Linked DNA regions of Arabidopsis thaliana. The protein of the gene in region 1 interacts with the protein of each later gene in a pairwise test. Each region holds a gene or a part of one and is shown in the gene's direction. Other genes may lie near its edges. The genes, in order: TRB2, ADA2A, AT5G66000 and AT1G47655.

What was found.
Region 2: the proteins of TRB2 (region 1) and ADA2A interact in a two-hybrid assay, tested with the Arabidopsis thaliana proteins (one large-scale study listed by BioGRID).
Region 3: the proteins of TRB2 (region 1) and AT5G66000 interact in a two-hybrid assay, tested with the Arabidopsis thaliana proteins (one large-scale study listed by BioGRID).
Region 4: the proteins of TRB2 (region 1) and AT1G47655 interact in a two-hybrid assay, tested with the Arabidopsis thaliana proteins (one large-scale study listed by BioGRID).

Annotation. Positions count from the first base shown.
Region 1 is NC_003076.8:26,955,047-26,959,373, reverse strand, and holds TRB2 (Homeodomain-like/winged-helix DNA-binding family protein), read left to right. Parts: upstream 1-1,599; 5' UTR 1,600-1,850; intron 1,851-2,266; 5' UTR 2,267-2,300; coding exon 2,301-2,450; intron 2,451-2,527; coding exon 2,528-2,748; intron 2,749-2,832; coding exon 2,833-2,917; intron 2,918-2,990; coding exon 2,991-3,074; intron 3,075-3,171; coding exon 3,172-3,531; 3' UTR 3,532-3,806; downstream 3,807-4,327. Other genes in the region: FRO1 (NADH-ubiquinone oxidoreductase-like protein), read right to left, coding at 18-74, 382-411, 593-722, 907-995, 1,143-1,301; DG1 (Tetratricopeptide repeat (TPR)-like superfamily protein), read right to left, coding at 3,894-4,327. UniProt on the Arabidopsis thaliana protein: Binds preferentially double-stranded telomeric repeats, but it can also bind to the single G-rich telomeric strand.
Region 2 is NC_003074.8:2,469,288-2,475,094, reverse strand, and holds ADA2A (ADA2 2A), read left to right. Parts: upstream 1-1,999; 5' UTR 2,000-2,032; coding exon 2,033-2,085; exon of another isoform or gene 2,086-2,187; intron 2,188-2,313; coding exon 2,314-2,375; intron 2,376-2,458; exon of another isoform or gene 2,459-2,459; coding exon of another isoform or gene 2,460-2,511; coding exon 2,512-2,714; intron 2,715-2,842; coding exon 2,843-2,908; intron 2,909-2,994; coding exon 2,995-3,120; intron 3,121-3,198; coding exon 3,199-3,271; intron 3,272-3,377; coding exon 3,378-3,438; intron 3,439-3,527; coding exon 3,528-3,586; intron 3,587-3,740; coding exon 3,741-3,791; intron 3,792-3,878; coding exon 3,879-4,107; intron 4,108-4,196; coding exon 4,197-4,407; intron 4,408-4,499; coding exon 4,500-4,778; intron 4,779-4,886; coding exon 4,887-5,081; 3' UTR 5,082-5,264; downstream 5,265-5,807. Other genes in the region: AT3G07750 (3'-5'-exoribonuclease family protein), read right to left, coding at 1-116, 207-350, 658-782, 877-955, 1,157-1,249, 1,338-1,394, 1,487-1,609; AT3G07730 (uncharacterized protein), read right to left, coding at 5,489-5,807. UniProt on the Arabidopsis thaliana protein: Required for the function of some acidic activation domains, which activate transcription from a distant site. The exact mechanism of action is not yet known.
Region 3 is NC_003076.8:26,395,954-26,399,176, reverse strand, and holds AT5G66000 (uncharacterized protein), read left to right. Parts: upstream 1-1,661; 5' UTR 1,662-1,824; intron 1,825-1,936; 5' UTR 1,937-1,964; coding exon 1,965-2,612; 3' UTR 2,613-2,710; downstream 2,711-3,223. Other genes in the region: AT5G66005 (uncharacterized protein), read left to right, coding at 54-95, 176-263, 360-450, 537-621, 700-856, 1,198-1,313; AT5G65990 (Transmembrane amino acid transporter family protein), read right to left, coding at 2,856-3,223.
Region 4 is NC_003070.9:17,523,672-17,526,870, forward strand, and holds AT1G47655 (Dof-type zinc finger DNA-binding family protein), read left to right. Parts: upstream 1-1,670; 5' UTR 1,671-1,765; coding exon 1,766-2,395; 3' UTR 2,396-2,637; downstream 2,638-3,199. UniProt on the Arabidopsis thaliana protein: Transcription factor that binds specifically to a 5'-AA[AG]G-3' consensus core sequence.

The DNA of each region.
Region 1 (4,327 bases):
TGGAAGAAGGTGTAACATCAGTTTTCTGGTTGAGGATTGCCTTTCCACTTGAAGTTGTCCGAGTAAGACTTGACCTGCAGTTAGATGTTAGATGATGAACAATCATGGGGTTAGGTTAAAACTTCAATCTAAAGAATGTTCTACCAAATAAATCAAAGGAATGAAAGAGACTATCGCTCGTCAAACTAGTAGCTAAATCTTAAACTAGAGGCACCAAACCATTTCTGATGAAGCAATATGAGTTAAGTTAAAGAATATCCTATCTATTTAACACAACATTCAAGGGTCGTTCCAGTGAATCTCCAGCTTTAGGGTTAAACACCTCATATGAGTAGAGCTCGTAAGTCATAATGCGGCATTAGCAAAAAGATAGTTACTAACCTTCAATAATGGTGTGTTGGGCTTCTTGACCTGCAATGATTTAGATGTAAGTTTTTCAGTACTCTGAATTCTATATTAAGGGATCTTAAAACAGAACCATCACAATGGTGATCGAAAAAAAAAAAAAACAGAACCATCACATTCTCATAAAATGTGAGTGAATGCGACCAGAAAAAAAAATGAGCTAAAAACGAAGAAGGAAACAACGTACCTTATAATCCCAACCATGACGCTCAGCAAAAGACTTAGCAGCTTCTTCAGAATCAAAAGCAAGAGCAGAGTCACCAACATTAGCATAGGGGTCACCTGTAGAAGTCCATCCCATCAACGGATTCTCCCACCTAGAAACATATGAATGCCATAGATAAGTGATGTCAATCGAAATCTAATCAACAAGTGATGGACTAGTACTAGTCACAAGCAGAAGACTTAAGTTTTGAAAAGATAGGAATTTTAAGGATAAGAATCATATTAGGACATAAAATGTGAGGAAAAGAGGATTATCTTAATCAAAAAGTAGCATACTTTAAGGTGGAGACGAAGTTAATCTTCCATTTTCCGAGTTTTCCAGATCCTGACTGGGTAGCTGTTCTAGCAGGTGAGTATATTATCACCTGTTAATTTCCAAATTCAATACTCTTAGCACTATTCGATTGACCAAAATCAAATCAAGAACACGATGTAGCTCAATTAAGACGATTCTCTGATCACGAACCCTAATTTTCTAAACTGAATTCGTAAGAAATCGAATGCTTATTTACCTTGCGAGAAAGATGCTCCTCTGGGATTCCGGAGACCTTACCGATCTCACCACGCTTGTAATCCGACTCAACCACCGCGTCAGTAGCGAAAGGTCGAGCAACACGCCGGAGCGTCGCCGCTATACGGATAGTCCTTTGAGTAGTAGCACAAAGCGCCATCGTCAATTAGAGAAATCTGGAAAATTGCTGAGCTTTTTGATTTCGCTTTGGTTTCTTCTACTTCTGTAGATTTTAGAAAGAAAAAAAAAACACATATTTCAATCTAGCCATCAAAATTTTATAAATTACGCTTTCGGTCTTACTATTATATGAAAAATCTTTAATAGCCCCTAAACTATCTGTGAGATTTAACAACGATAAATTTTATAGATACATTATTTTTAAAAAATAGTACTAGTATATTTTATTCAGCTTGATCCTATTCATTTAGTTGGTAGGTTTTATTGTGTAATTTGATAAACTTGAGGCAAATTTGTGAATGTGGAGAAATATAGGGTTACATCTTCCTTAGCTTGAATACAAAAGAAAAGCTCAAGTTTGTTTCTCGTTTCTATGGATATTCTTCTTCCTTATGCTAGCCTCTCTGGTCTTCTTCTTCTTCGTTCGTTTCAGCGAATCACATTTGATCTATGACACATCTATACAAGGAATTAGCTTTCATCATCAAGTCTCTCTCTCGAAAACTCTCCTTTGGTTTCGTTTGATCTGGCATGCTTCTTCTCCTCCTTCCTCCTTTCTGCTTCCTTCTCTGAATTTTCCATTTTTGTTTTTAATTTTCTACGATCGCCCCATTTGAATTTGGTTGATAATTTAGCTATCGCTTTAGATTGATGGCTGTATTTCCAAATTCCTGTTGATTTGCGACGTTGTTAATGGGCTTTGATCCTCTTTTTTTGGTTCGAGATTGCTCGAATCACTCATTTTTTTGTTGAATTGAGCTTTGGGGCGTATCTAATTTCTTTGGATTTGTGTAGTTACATTTTTATGTTGTGGCTTTGTGTATCTGCTGGATTTAGATGACCAAAATTTTGTATTGGATAAGAAATGTTCAACAATGGCTTTGATGTGGTTAAGTTTCGTACGATTTAACAGATTCTAATGTTAGCGTTCACATCTATTGGCAGAGAAAAGAAGAAATTCAAATATTGATAACTGTGGATGGGTGCACCAAAGCAGAAGTGGACACCGGAAGAAGAAGCAGCTCTTAAAGCTGGAGTTCTTAAGCATGGGACTGGGAAGTGGCGTACCATACTCTCGGATACTGAGTTTAGTTTAATCCTTAAGTCTCGCTCTAATGTTGATCTTAAGGTAATACAATATAATATGCTTTTTGGAGGTTGTGATCGCGTGTTTCGGACTAATCTTGATAGTTCAAGGCATAACAGGACAAATGGAGAAATATAAGCGTGACAGCTTTATGGGGTTCAAGGAAGAAGGCTAAACTTGCGCTTAAGAGGACTCCACCAGGTACTAAACAGGATGATAACAACACAGCTCTTACCATTGTGGCTTTGACTAATGATGATGAACGTGCAAAACCAACTTCCCCCGGAGGTTCTGGTGGTGGATCACCACGCACTTGTGCTTCTAAGAGATCAATTACAAGGTTTGGTTCCCTGACTTATGCACCACATAACGATTTTCTTGAGTTCATAAAGATTTGATCTTGCGCTATTGTCTGTTTTTGTAGTTTGGATAAGATCATCTTTGAGGCAATTACCAACTTGAGGGAACTACGCGGTTCTGACAGAACATCAATCTTTCTGTATATAGAGGTATTTCTACCATTGGGATTACATGTTTGGTTGGGGTTTGTTGCATACTTACTTAGTAGCTGTTAAATTTCAGGAGAATTTCAAGACTCCACCGAATATGAAAAGGCATGTCGCAGTACGATTAAAGCATTTATCATCGAATGGAACATTAGTTAAGGTAAACACACAACTTTTGATTCAAGATTCATGATCACTAACACTTCATTACTCTCAGAATTTTCAAAAATACTTACTTGGTGATTTCTCACTTTCAGATAAAGCACAAGTACAGGTTTTCTTCTAATTTTATTCCCGCAGGTGCAAGACAGAAGGCTCCTCAACTCTTTCTGGAAGGAAACAACAAGAAAGACCCAACAAAACCCGAGGAGAACGGTGCCAACAGTCTCACTAAATTCCGAGTAGACGGTGAATTATATATGATAAAAGGCATGACAGCTCAAGAAGCTGCAGAGGCTGCAGCAAGAGCAGTTGCAGAGGCAGAATTTGCTATCACAGAGGCTGAACAAGCAGCAAAAGAGGCAGAAAGAGCAGAAGCAGAAGCTGAAGCTGCTCAGATATTTGCAAAGGCAGCCATGAAAGCTTTGAAGTTCAGGATCCGTAATCATCCTTGGTGAAACAGAAAGAAATAGCCATCATGGGGAAGTTCTGTAACAAAGCAAGCCATAAAATATATATACTTAGTGGGTTTACTGGTTTCTTAAGAGTGCCGATCTTGAATCAGGCGATATCTCATCACCTGCAGAGTTTTTTAAGTTTCCAAACCTATCTGCTCTCTTTTTTTGGTTAGTAACAGTGTAAATCCGCAGTTTGATCATATGTATGTTCTTTCTCCGAATCTGAGATTCTGTATAACTGATCTTTTATTGTATGTGGATGATCTGTTTAGTAACCTTGAAACTATTTTGAAGTGAGATGAGTAAGCAAAAAAATTGAGATTTTGTTCTACTAAAGATTTTGAGGAAATTTACAAGCATTTTCATTCTTTCTTACTACTCTCTTCCCATTCTTTCAGAATGTCATAAACTGAAAGTGAATCAGAGTCGCTAGATTCTTCATCATCATCAATCTCGAGTTCTTCTAGACCCAACGTTTCGAGTTCAGTCTCTGTAAATTCCCAAGCTTCACCATTAGCACTATTATCATCTTCCATTGTTGTATCTTGCAGAAGCAAATCTTCCTCCGGTTTTTCGCCCTGACTTTGAGTTGTTACATCTACGGCTAACAATGGTTGTGCTGAAGAAGAAGAAGACCCACATCGAGATTTCAATGACTTTGAGAGGTTTGAGACCGTTGGTTCACTTACATAATCACACTCAATGAGATGATCCGAGAGCTTATGAAGATTATCTTGAGTAAGCCAGTCTTGATGCTCCTCAAAAAGATCAGTCCATTCTTCTTCACTAATCTGGA
Region 2 (5,807 bases), on another chromosome or scaffold:
CCGCTTCGTTTGGTTAACCCACATATATGGCCTGTCCGATTCACAGATATAGATACAGCTGAGCTCATCTGAGACTCCTCTTCTGCTGTTGCATCAACTATGTAATGCGTTCCCACCTGCAAAAACCAAGGACAGCATGGTAAAAGATTAGCGAAATGTACATAAGAAGATGTCGATGTGAATCAAGAAAAGTGAGATTCGATTACTTTTGTTAACGTGACTATGACCGGGACACTGGAAGTGTCAAATTGAAGATATTCCTCGTCGCTGATGTCAATCTCTGGTTGCTCATCATCTGCTACTTCAGCTGAAACATTGACTTTTGGGATGGCCGTGTTGGTTAAAGCAGCCTGCAGGAGTATAGTCAACAAGTGCATTAAAGCATGTGATCAGCCTTGAGGAAAGATGACTTTTGGGTTGCTTAAACTATCAATTGGAAACATATCGTAAAGCTACTAAAACCAATAACAAGACAACTACATTGAGCTAATCTATATACACTTAACTAAAGACCCATTCCCTTTCGTTTCCTATATTCTCTGGCCTTTCCTTTCTCATGATTCTGATTGATGGGTATGATTTACTCACTAACATTCGTAACTAAAACCTGAGACTAAGGGTTAAGAGAGAAAACCAAACACACATCACAAGAATTACCTTAATGGCAGCACCCAGGGCATCCAATAGATTCCCATCCGAACTAATGACAAGACCATCAATATAAAGGTCCCAGCAAACTTTTCCTTCTTTGATTAAAAGCGAAGATAAATTTATTCCAGCTCCTGGTACCAAAACATGAATTGCTATAAACGTTACAAACAGAAAGCGTAACAGTGTGCAGGTAAAAAAAAGCATTGCATAAACATGATTGCAGACCTGCTCCACTTTTGCCACCCAGAAGACATCTTTGAAGAGCCAAAGCAAGCTCAGAAGACAATTCCTCACCTCCTCTCCCCTAAGTAACAACATATCACAAAGAATTAGCCGCCTAAAGACTTAACACAGTAGAATTTAGGAGATTCTGAAGAAAAGTAATGATAACCAAAATCTCATGTTGAACAATTCCACTAGTAAGAGAAACACCAATAGAACGATAGAACGGGTGTGACAAGTGCTAGATAGAACCAAAACCAAACGAAATAAAAGAAAAGCTCACCCCAAATGTCGGTTCAGCTGTTGGACTGCAATCAATGAAAACTGCAACCTTTCCTTTATCGGGTTGAAGTGAACTTGGCCTCCCAATTTCAGCCTGCAATTACACAAGATTACTGGGTAACATCTACAATAGCACTTCCCATTCAACAATAGAACAGTAGCAGAGAGAACAAAGGAAGTACCTTTACACTAGCAATCACATCGGTTCCACCAATTCTAACTCTCGCTGAACCATTAGCCTAGAGCCAACAAAAACAAGAGAAAGAACATATCTGTTAAACAACTGGGAAGCAACAATGAGAAGCGGACGAGCTCTAGGAGATTACACTACCTGCGGAATAACACCGGTTTCGACGTAGATAGGACGGTAAGTCAATCTTTTCCGACCATCAGTTCGAAGATCTTGAGCAATCCCACCTTTAATGAAATGTTGTTCCCCAAGAGAAAGCCCCATCACTAATACTACACAGAGAACGAATTAGATCAACTGCTGAGGAATTTCTACCGGAATGACAAACTTCAAGGTTCACGGATTGGTGCTAGGGTTTAAGAGACAGCTCAAACAAAGTACACATCTTTATACAGCACAATCAAAACCCACTAATCTTCTTTACCTTCCCGGAGAATTCAATAGAAGACACAACTCTGAAGTTTTCCGGTGACCCTAGCGGCAACTTTGGATTGGTTAGGTTAAGAGAGAGACGTGACCACTGACAACTGCCGTAGGGTTTAAAGATGGCGTGAACATAATTATTGACACTTGTTAAGGGTAATTTAGTCATTTACCGACTTACCATTTTTTCACTGCTTTTTAGCGTTTTCTCGCTCTTCTGGTTTTTTCTTCAATCTGCCGGGAAGAAGTGCGAGCTTGGTGCCGATGGGTCGTTCGAAACTAGCTTCTCGTCCTGCTGAGGAAGACCTGAATCCAGGGTTCGTTTAAAGTTTCGTTCTTTGTCCATCTTAGCTCGAAGTCTTCTAGGGTTTTCTCTGTTCAATTACTTACTTGTCTTTGCGAAAACATTTCAATATCTGGTAATCCACTTAGCTGTGTTTGATTATCTGAATCGGAGTTCTTTTGGTACTTGTGGGTGGCTCTTGATTTCATACTGCTGTCGTCTCTTGTCTTTATCCTAATTTTGATGATTTTGGCTGTTTCAGAAAATCAAAAAGGAAAAAGATATCATTGGGTCCTGAGAATGCTGCGGCATCAATTTCCACCGGTAGGTTTCCGTTTACTTGTGCAATTAGGTGTGATACTGATAGGACTAAAGTTTCTGCTGTGGATAGATATGCATTGATGTATCATGTACCAAGCTGCGTTTTCCAAAAGTTCTTACATGTACCAATACATTGTAGGAATTGAAGCTGGGAATGAGAGGAAACCTGGCCTTTACTGTTGTAACTATTGCGATAAAGATCTGTCTGGTTTGGTTCGTTTCAAATGTGCTGTTTGTATGGACTTTGATCTTTGTGTGGAATGCTTTTCTGTCGGCGTTGAACTTAATCGTCACAAGAACAGTCACCCATATCGTGTTATGGTTAGTTTCCAACGCCGAGCAGTATATTTGAATTCAATTCAACGCTTTGTCAGCTGAAAAGTAATTAGATTAGTGATTGTGTTTAAAACAAAGAAAATGTTCTATGGTTGTATTTTTGTTTGTATTGAATCTACCCTTTTGTTTGACAGGACAATTTGTCTTTTTCGCTTGTTACTTCTGATTGGAATGCCGATGAAGAGATACTCCTTCTTGAGGTAATCATTAATCGTTTCTGATTGTACACTCCCATGTCTATATAGAGATTCCATCTGACTATTGGGAAGTAAATTGACTGTGTTAGGCCATTGCGACATACGGGTTTGGCAATTGGAAAGAAGTTGCAGACCATGTTGGTAGTAAGACAACGACAGAATGTATTAAACACTTCAATTCTGCTTACATGCAGTCACCATGCTTTCCACTTCCGGTAAGGACTGATGAAAACACATGATCGTCAGATAGTTGAACCTAGCTTGTTTATTTACTCTAGCTCCCCGCTCTGTAGGACTTGTCCCATACTATTGGAAAGAGCAAAGATGAGCTGCTTGCTATGAGTAAAGATAGTGCAGTCAAAACAGGTCAGCTTTAAAATCTATTAGCGGGGTTTCTTGTTGATTTGGGACTCGTATATTAACCTTGACTGAAAAAAGGAGGATGCTGAGCTCTGTTTACTATTTGTCACAGAAATACCTGCATTTGTGAGGCTATCTCCAAAAGAAGAGTTACCTGTGTCAGCTGAAATCAAGTATATACTTATGCTTGTAACAATAGTTTACCTACGTTTACAATGTTGAATGCACCTTTTTAAAAGTACTATTATGTTTCCATGGGCAGACACGAAGCTTCAGGGAAGGTCAATGAAATAGATCCACCTTTGTCTGCCTTAGCTGGAGGTATGTGAAAATGCTTTTATCTATATAAAATTGTAGACATTATTTGCACTTAGATTTATGGCTAAGGACGCAAATCATCCGCATTTCGTACTACGACCCCAAATATTATCTCTTCCATGATTCCATATGTAAAGTAATACTTTTTATTGTACAGTCAAGAAGAAAGGCAATGTACCGCAGGCTAAGGACATCATCAAGTTGGAAGGTTTGTTATATACTGGAACAAGTTTTTATGCAAAGTGATATTTACGCGAACAAAAACTAAAGGTAGTTAACGGCCCTTGTGTCTTAGCTGCAAAACAACAATCTGACAGGAGTGTCGGGGAGAAGAAACTCAGACTTCCTGGAGAGAAAGTTCCATTAGTAACAGAGTTATATGGTTACAATCTAAAGAGGGAAGAATTTGAGATCGAACATGACAACGATGCTGAGCAACTGCTTGCTGACATGGAATTTAAGGATTCTGACACAGATGCTGAGCGTGAGCAGAAACTGCAGGTTCTTCGTATTTACTCGAAAAGGTACACTTATCACAGGAACAACCATTTTTAAACCGGAGAATTTTTTCATAAGCCAATGCTACAAGCCAAGATTGTGCCTTTGTTGGCAGGCTTGATGAGAGGAAGCGGAGGAAGGAATTTGTTCTGGAAAGAAACTTGTTGTACCCTGATCAATATGAGATGAGCCTTTCAGCAGAGGAGAGAAAAATATATAAAAGCTGTAAAGTGTTTGCGCGGTTCCAATCCAAAGAAGAGCACAAGGAACTGATTAAGAAAGTCATTGAAGAGCACCAAATTCTCAGAAGAATCGAGGATCTTCAGGTTTGATGCTTAAAATTTTACCAAGCTTGAGTACTGGATTACAAACTCAATTAGGTGGGAACATTAAGTTGAGCTTTTAATAAATGTTGCAGGAAGCTAGAACTGCTGGTTGCAGGACAACTTCAGACGCAAATAGATTTATAGAAGAGAAGAGAAAGAAGGAAGCTGAAGAAAGTATGCTGCTGCGGCTTAACCACGGTGCACCAGGCAGTATAGCCGGTAAAACACTAAAAAGTCCAAGAGGGTTACCCAGAAATTTGCATCCCTTTGGTTCTGACTCACTGCCAAAGGTCACACCTCCAAGAATATACAGCGGTTTGGACACTTGGGATGTTGATGGTCTCCTTGGAGCTGACTTACTCTCAGAGACCGTAAGAACAATAATTTTCAAACTTGATGTTTGTCATCTTATTTGTGATTTTGTTGATTTGTTGACATTATTCCTATGGTTTGAGAGATTGAAGCTGTTTTTTGTGCAGGAAAAGAAGATGTGCAATGAGACCAGAATACTGCCTGTACACTATTTGAAGATGTTGGATATCTTAACAAGAGAAATAAAGAAGGGGCAGATAAAGAAAAAGTCTGATGCTTATAGCTTCTTCAAAGTAGAGCCGAGTAAAGTAGACAGAGTATATGATATGCTGGTTCATAAGGGAATAGGTGACTCAACATGACTCATAGCTTCATGGTCCTAACATGTACTTCTCGAACATATATTAGCCATGTAAATATAAAGGAAGGTGATGCTGATTTTGGTTACACATCTTGTTCTCTGTTAGTTTCGACAACTTGACAATGTCTGATTGTTATGACCTTCAAAGGCTGTTTCAGATTTTTTGATACAACGTTTAAACTGAATATTGTAATGCCTTCACTCATCTGATTCCTTCAATTTTTGTTATATGAGATCAGAAAGTCTTGAGACATTGCATCAGTTTTCAGGAAAAACCTAAATAAAACCAGATTCTTTGGTTACAAGAAACTACACTGGATCAGATTGCCATCCAACAACAAAGAAAAAAAAAAAAACAGACAGAAATCCAAAAACTTAATCTACATGAAGCCAAAAGCTTTACCATTTCTAAGGTTGCCAACTTTGAGTCTTCTCCCAAGGCTTGAAAACACCATCATGAGAAACATATTTCAAGTAAAAGAAAAAGCCACGCAGCAACTTCAAAGCTCTTGCCTTATCAACACCAACCACAAGCTTGTATTCTTTTTCGAAATCAGGGAAACTTTCTAGATAAGATTGTCCCAGTTCGTCAGTCTCATAATCAGATCCTCTTCCCTTTCGTAGTTCTCTGCATCGAGTCATTTTTTTATGGATTGATACGTAACGATGGAGCTGCTTCATCTCTCCTTCATCATATGGATTTTTCAAAACATCCATTAGCTCCTTT
Region 3 (3,223 bases), 560 kb from region 1:
GGATTTGGATGGTGTGACCCTTATTGGCTACTATTACCAACAACGGCCAGAAAATGGCAGGCACCGGGAAATGCCTTCTTGTCACCGGCCCTCCTGTGAGCTTGCTTATCTTCCTGCTTTCCTCTCATCGCCTTTTACAGTTTCTCATTGTTGGATTTCAATACTTTTTGGGCAGGGTGTCGGAAAAACCACATTGATCATGAGAGTGTTGGATATGATGAGGGTTTCCAACCCTAACTTAAAAATCCAGGGTTTCTACACTCGTAAGTAAGCTCTCTCTCTCTTCCTCTTTCTAAACACCAATCAGTCATCAAGTCTTCTTCTTTTTTATGATACCGTTAGTTATAACTAACACACAGAAGAGATGAGGGAACGAGGACAAAGGGTTGGTTTTCAAGTGGTCACTTTGGATGGCCGCACAAGTTTGCTTGCTTCTTCTATTGTTTCTAGGTCCATCCTCCTTCTCCTTCTTCACCCTTAAATCTCTAGTTTCCCTCTCACAGATAATTAGGCTACTTGTTTCTCTCTGTTGGCAGTCAAGAATCGATGACATGGCCTAGTGTTGGCAAGTACAAAGTGGACATTGCATCCTTCGAGTCTATAGCCTTGCCTGAGCTACAGGTGTTCTGTCAGCTCATCATTTCCTTGATAATTTGGATAGATGAACACTGACTGACTGGTTTAGCATTGGTTTTCAAGGTCAAAGACGATACCAATCTTTTCATCATTGATGAAGTTGGCAAGATGGAGATGTTTAGTCCATCCTTTTTTCCGGCTGTCCTCAATGTTTTGGACTCCAACGTTCCTCTTCTTGCTTCCATTCCTAGCCCAAAATTTGGTCGACATCTTCCTGAAGGTAATTCATTATCTGGAATCAAACATAATTATTGAGGAATCAGAGCTCGGTTTCATCTGTTAACTAGATTCGTTTTCAGCCTGTAGTTGTTTCCAATCCTGATGCCAATGATAACCGTGCGTGCTGCTTAAATTGAAATTTATGAAAGTGCCTTCACATCTATATACTGTTTGGAACACTTTTCCAACTCTTGAGTAGTCAATTGTGCTATGGTCCACTTTGATGTACTCTTGTATTGGCTTTATGTGTCACCCTCCTCTGTTGGCAGTCTAGATAAGCTGCATAGAGTTCACTAATCTATTTTCCTTAACAAAGTTTACTTTCTTCTTTGTTGTCTGCAGTGGCAAGGTTGAAGAACCAACCGGGAGTGAATGTAATCTCCCTGAGTGCGACTAACAGAGATCCCATGAAAGAACATATCTTTGATGTTTTCTCTGGTTGGCTGCCCAAGCAATAGGGTTTCCCAGCCTGTCAAAAGACATCTCTTTCCCTATCAACCTCTAAAATGTAATCCACTGTTTCATTTCAAAACATGTTTAGGCTAAAAGCACAAAGATTTTTGGAAAAAAAAACTTACATAAATTATGCATGTTTTGTTGTCTTTCTACATTAAAACATCTTCATTATCTAAATAAAAAGGAATTCAACTAATTAAAAGAAAAAAAACAATTTGACAAAAGGGATAATCTGTAAGTAATTTGTGGGAGGAAGTGAAACGGAACGACGCGCACGCACTGGTAATAAAGCGAATATCCGAACAGAACGTGCGAAGAAATTGGTGTCGGAGAAGAAGAAAGTCGTTCGCTGCTTGGGTTTTATCATCTTCGTCTCAAATTTAATTTTAATGTGTGAGTGTGTGTATAAATACACAACAAGCCTAAACGTTCATCTGTGAGTTTCAGAATTTCGACCTCCAAAACCCTAATTTTGGCGGACTTCTCTTATCTCTTTTCGCAGGCGCATTCAAGGTAAACTCTTAAGCTTACTTCATCGGTTTTCTAGAAATGCATCTTAGCGTCAGACTCCGATGTTGGCTTCTCTCTTATATCCGCGTAAGATCTGATAGGGTTTGTTTTGTAGGTTAGAGAGATTTGTTGTATGTGTAATTATGGAAGGCGTCAATGTGCTGACAAAAGAGGTTGATGCTAATGGAGTTCCACATCCTTCCACCAATGTTGATTACCATCTTAGCATTCTTTTAGCTTCTCATTTGAGTAATCCAGATCTCACCCCTCAGGAGATTGCAGATGCTTCGAGATGTACTGCTGCCGCTGCTGCTATTGCTGCTAAGGCCGCCAGAGCTACTGCAGATGAGAAAGCCGCTGCTGCAGCAAAAGCCGTTGCTGCTGCTAAGACCGCTTTAGATTTGATTGCCTCCTTTCCTCCTAACCAGGGACTCGTACAAGACGCATGTCTCCACAAGGACAAGAAGATGAAGAAGAAGCATGTTGCTGCTGACTTGTTGTTTTCCAAGGATGATGCATTACCCTCCAAGTTGCAACTTGGAGGCGTCGTCAGTCAGGGCATAGTTTCAAACTCTTCTTCGAGTTGTCAACATAAGAACGACGACCAGTGTGCGGTTCCCACATGCTCAAGAGAGAGGCTGAATACAGAGCATGCCGTTTCCAAGAGGGTGGAATTCGATGGCCTTGGCATGGAGTTAGATACCGATAGACTGAACGAATCTGTTAATGGAGAAGGAGCAAAAGAAGAGATTCAGGTGACTAGAAAAAGAGGGAGGCCAAAGTCCAAATGATTTGGCTTCTGCAGTTTTGATTTAGTCTCTTTGTTGCGAATAGCCGCAAATGGTGTTTATCAAACTTGATTCTAAGAGTATTTTTCTTATTGGTTTTCCATGGTGCGTCTTTCTTACAAATAGAGTAATAAGACTCAAATAAACAAGTGAGGAGAGTAACAGAATAACAATAATAATGCCGTGTTCGCTGGAGGTAACAATGCTTCTCTTTTCATACTGACAAAAATAAACAATGGAAGAAGCTCAGGCCTTGGATGTCAGGATCTCATGTACTGCAGTCCAGGTCCCGGTAATGGCTATCATAACACCAATGAGGAAAACGAGAACGTCTACCACTATTCTTGTGATGCTCAACTCGTTTTTGAAAGCCTGCAAGTGAAATAGTGATGGCAAGACAAAGCCCAGCACCACGCAGACGCTGCTCCCCACCAGAGATAAGAAGTCTGCAAAATTTGGGACGAGCAGGGCCACGAGCGTGACCACCAGCACAGTGGCCCAGCGCACCCATACAGAGTAACGGGAGCTGCAAAGGCGGCGTTCCACGACCTCGTAGACAGGTTGCATCATAAGGGGGAATGTGAAGAAGAGGTTGATTGCTAAGCCCAGCTGCA
Region 4 (3,199 bases), on another chromosome or scaffold:
TGACTACAATCAAGTTGTTATTGAAGATTTCTGCCTCTAAGAAATGGTTCTTAAAACAGCTTGATGTGTCTAATGCTTTCTTGAATGGTGAGTTAGAGGAAGAGATTTACATGAAGTTACCTGAAGGTTATGCGGCAAGGAAAGGTATCACTCTACCTCCTAATTCAGTCTGTCGATTGAAGAGATCCATTTATGGTTTGAAACAGGCCTCTCGTCAGTGGTTTAAGAAGTTTTCTGCTTCATTACTTGATTTGGGTTTTAAGAAGACACATGGTGATCATACTTTGTTTATTAAAGAGTATGATGGAGAATTTGTGATTGTTTTGGTTTATGTTGATGATATTGCTATTGCGAGTACAAGTGAAGGTGCTGCAATACAATTGACTCAGGATTTACAACAGCGATTCAAGTTAAGAGATCTTGGGGATTTGAAATATTTTTTGGGTCTTGAGATTGCTAGAACTGAAGCTGGTATTTCTATCTGCCAGAGAAAGTATGCTCTTGAGTTATTAGCATCTACTGGTATGGTTAACTGTAAACCTGTTTCAGTTCCCATGATCCCGAATGTGAAGATGATGAAGACTGATGGTGATTTGTTGGATGATAGAGAACAATACCGTCGTATTGTAGGAAAGCTGATGTATTTGACAATTACTAGACTTGACATCACCTTTGCAGTTAACAAGTTATGTCAGTTTTCCTCTGCTCCTAGGACGTCTCATCTTCAAGCTGCTTATCGAGTTTTACAATATATCAAAGGCAGTGTTGGCCAAGGTCTGTTCTATTCTGCATCTGCAGATCTTACTCTTAAAGGTTTTGCAGATTCAGATTGGGCTTCCTGTCCAGATAGTAGGAGATCAACAACTGGATTCAGCATGTTTGTGGGTGATTCATTGATATCTTGGCGTTCCAAGAAACAGCATGTGGTTTCCAGATCTTCTGCAGAGGCTGAGTACCGTGCCTTAGCACTGGTTACGTGTGAACTGGTATGGCTTCACACTTTGCTCATGTCTTTAAAAGCTAGCTACTTGGTTCCTGTGTTATATTCTGATAGCACAACTGCTATTTACATCGCCACAAATCCTGTGTTCCATGAAAGAACGAAGCATATAGAGCTAGATTGTCACACGGTTAGGGAGAAACTAGACAATGGCGAGCTGAAGTTGCTTCATGTGCGAACTGAAGACCAAGTAGCGGACATTCTTACTAATCCGTTATTTCCCCATCAATTCGAACACCTTAAATCCAAGATGAGCATTCTTAATATCTTTTCATGCACATCTTGAGGGGGCATATCAGATATGTATATTGGTTTAGTTGGTATTAGTTGGTTTAGTAGAACCATTGTATAGTGTAAAGTATATAAGACATTTGTACAGAATCATTTTACAATTAATGAGAAAAGGCTTCATAATATCTTCAACAAACTTTTCTCTCATCTCTATTCCGCTAATAATTCATTTTAACGAAGTAAATACTATTTTTAAATCCACTCTCATATTTTAACCATTTTTTAGTTAAATTTAATATAGAAGAAATTATTTTTAAAAAAAACTAAATATGAATTAAATTATTTTTAGAAGGGGAAAATAAATTAAATTCATATGTATCAATTAATAAATAAAAGGCAACTGAAAAAAACGTCTAAAAGCCTCTATATAAAAACCACATCACCACTCTCACAACATCCCCTTCTCTTTCGCTTTCTCTCTTCTCTCTTCTCTCCATTAACTTCTCTCTCGTTTTCTCATACTCTCAACTTAATATGCCGTCGGAACCAAACCAAACCCGACCCACCAGAGTTCAGCCCTCAACGGCGGCTTACCCACCGCCAAATCTGGCTGAGCCTCTTCCTTGTCCTCGCTGCAACTCCACCACCACCAAGTTCTGTTACTACAACAACTATAACCTCGCTCAGCCTCGCTACTACTGCAAATCTTGCCGCCGTTACTGGACTCAAGGTGGTACACTCCGTGACGTCCCCGTCGGTGGTGGAACTCGTCGAAGCTCCTCAAAACGTCACCGTTCTTTCTCCACCACTGCCACCTCCTCTTCCTCCTCTTCTTCCGTCATCACCACCACGACACAAGAACCAGCCACGACTGAAGCGAGTCAAACTAAGGTTACTAATTTAATTTCAGGTCATGGAAGCTTTGCTTCTCTGTTAGGTTTAGGAAGTGGAAATGGTGGGTTGGATTACGGGTTTGGGTACGGGTACGGGCTTGAGGAGATGAGTATTGGGTATCTTGGAGATTCTTCCGTAGGAGAGATTCCGGTGGTTGATGGTTGTGGTGGTGACACGTGGCAGATTGGGGAGATTGAAGGTAAAAGTGGAGGAGACAGTTTGATATGGCCTGGTCTTGAGATCTCAATGCAAACCAACGATGTTAAGTGAAAATGAAACCGTTTCTGATTTCTTGCCTTTGTCTTCTTTTGTTGGTGTCTTTTTGGAAATTTCTGTTTGTTTTCTTTTTTTTCCTAGAAAGAAGAGCAAAAGAAACCAAATTGAAGCAAAAATGTTTTTATTTATTTTAGTTTTTGAGGTCCAACAATTCTGGTGTATAAATCCTCTGTTTATGTGACGAACATATTGGAATGGATTTACAAGTAAAAAGTAAAAACGTTTCTTTCTTTTTATTTTGGTTGGTTAATATTTTGAAAGGAATAGTCAAATGTAGAAAGATGAATTGAGCATAAAAGTCCAAAAAGGGAAAAAGTACATAAGTACTGTTGCAGAAGTGAGTAAGAGATGCTCTGTTGCTACATCTTTGAAATGAGGAAATTGCGTTGAACTTAATTTTGTTTGTATTATAGATAAACATCAACAACAACATTGTTCATTTGCAGTGTAGAAGATTTTGTATATCAAAGTCATGTGAGTCTAGTGTTTAGCATATGAGACAATTCATATGAATGCTAAGAACTAAAACCTTTCATTCGATCAATGGATTAGAAATTCTTAGGGTTAATGTAGATTATGGTGTACTTATCAGCTAGTGTTATTTTTTTGTAAAAATCTTTAGGTTTAATCCTTGTGTCAAACATCTCAGCTAGAGTGTACTTGGTTAAACGTTCAAATAAAATTTGAATGTAGGGAATATAGCTAATAGATATTGTTGTGTAGTCTCCTATTGTGGTCAAAGCAAGAAAAACGAATTGTGTTGAATATAATTAACGGTAACTACATCATGACTATATT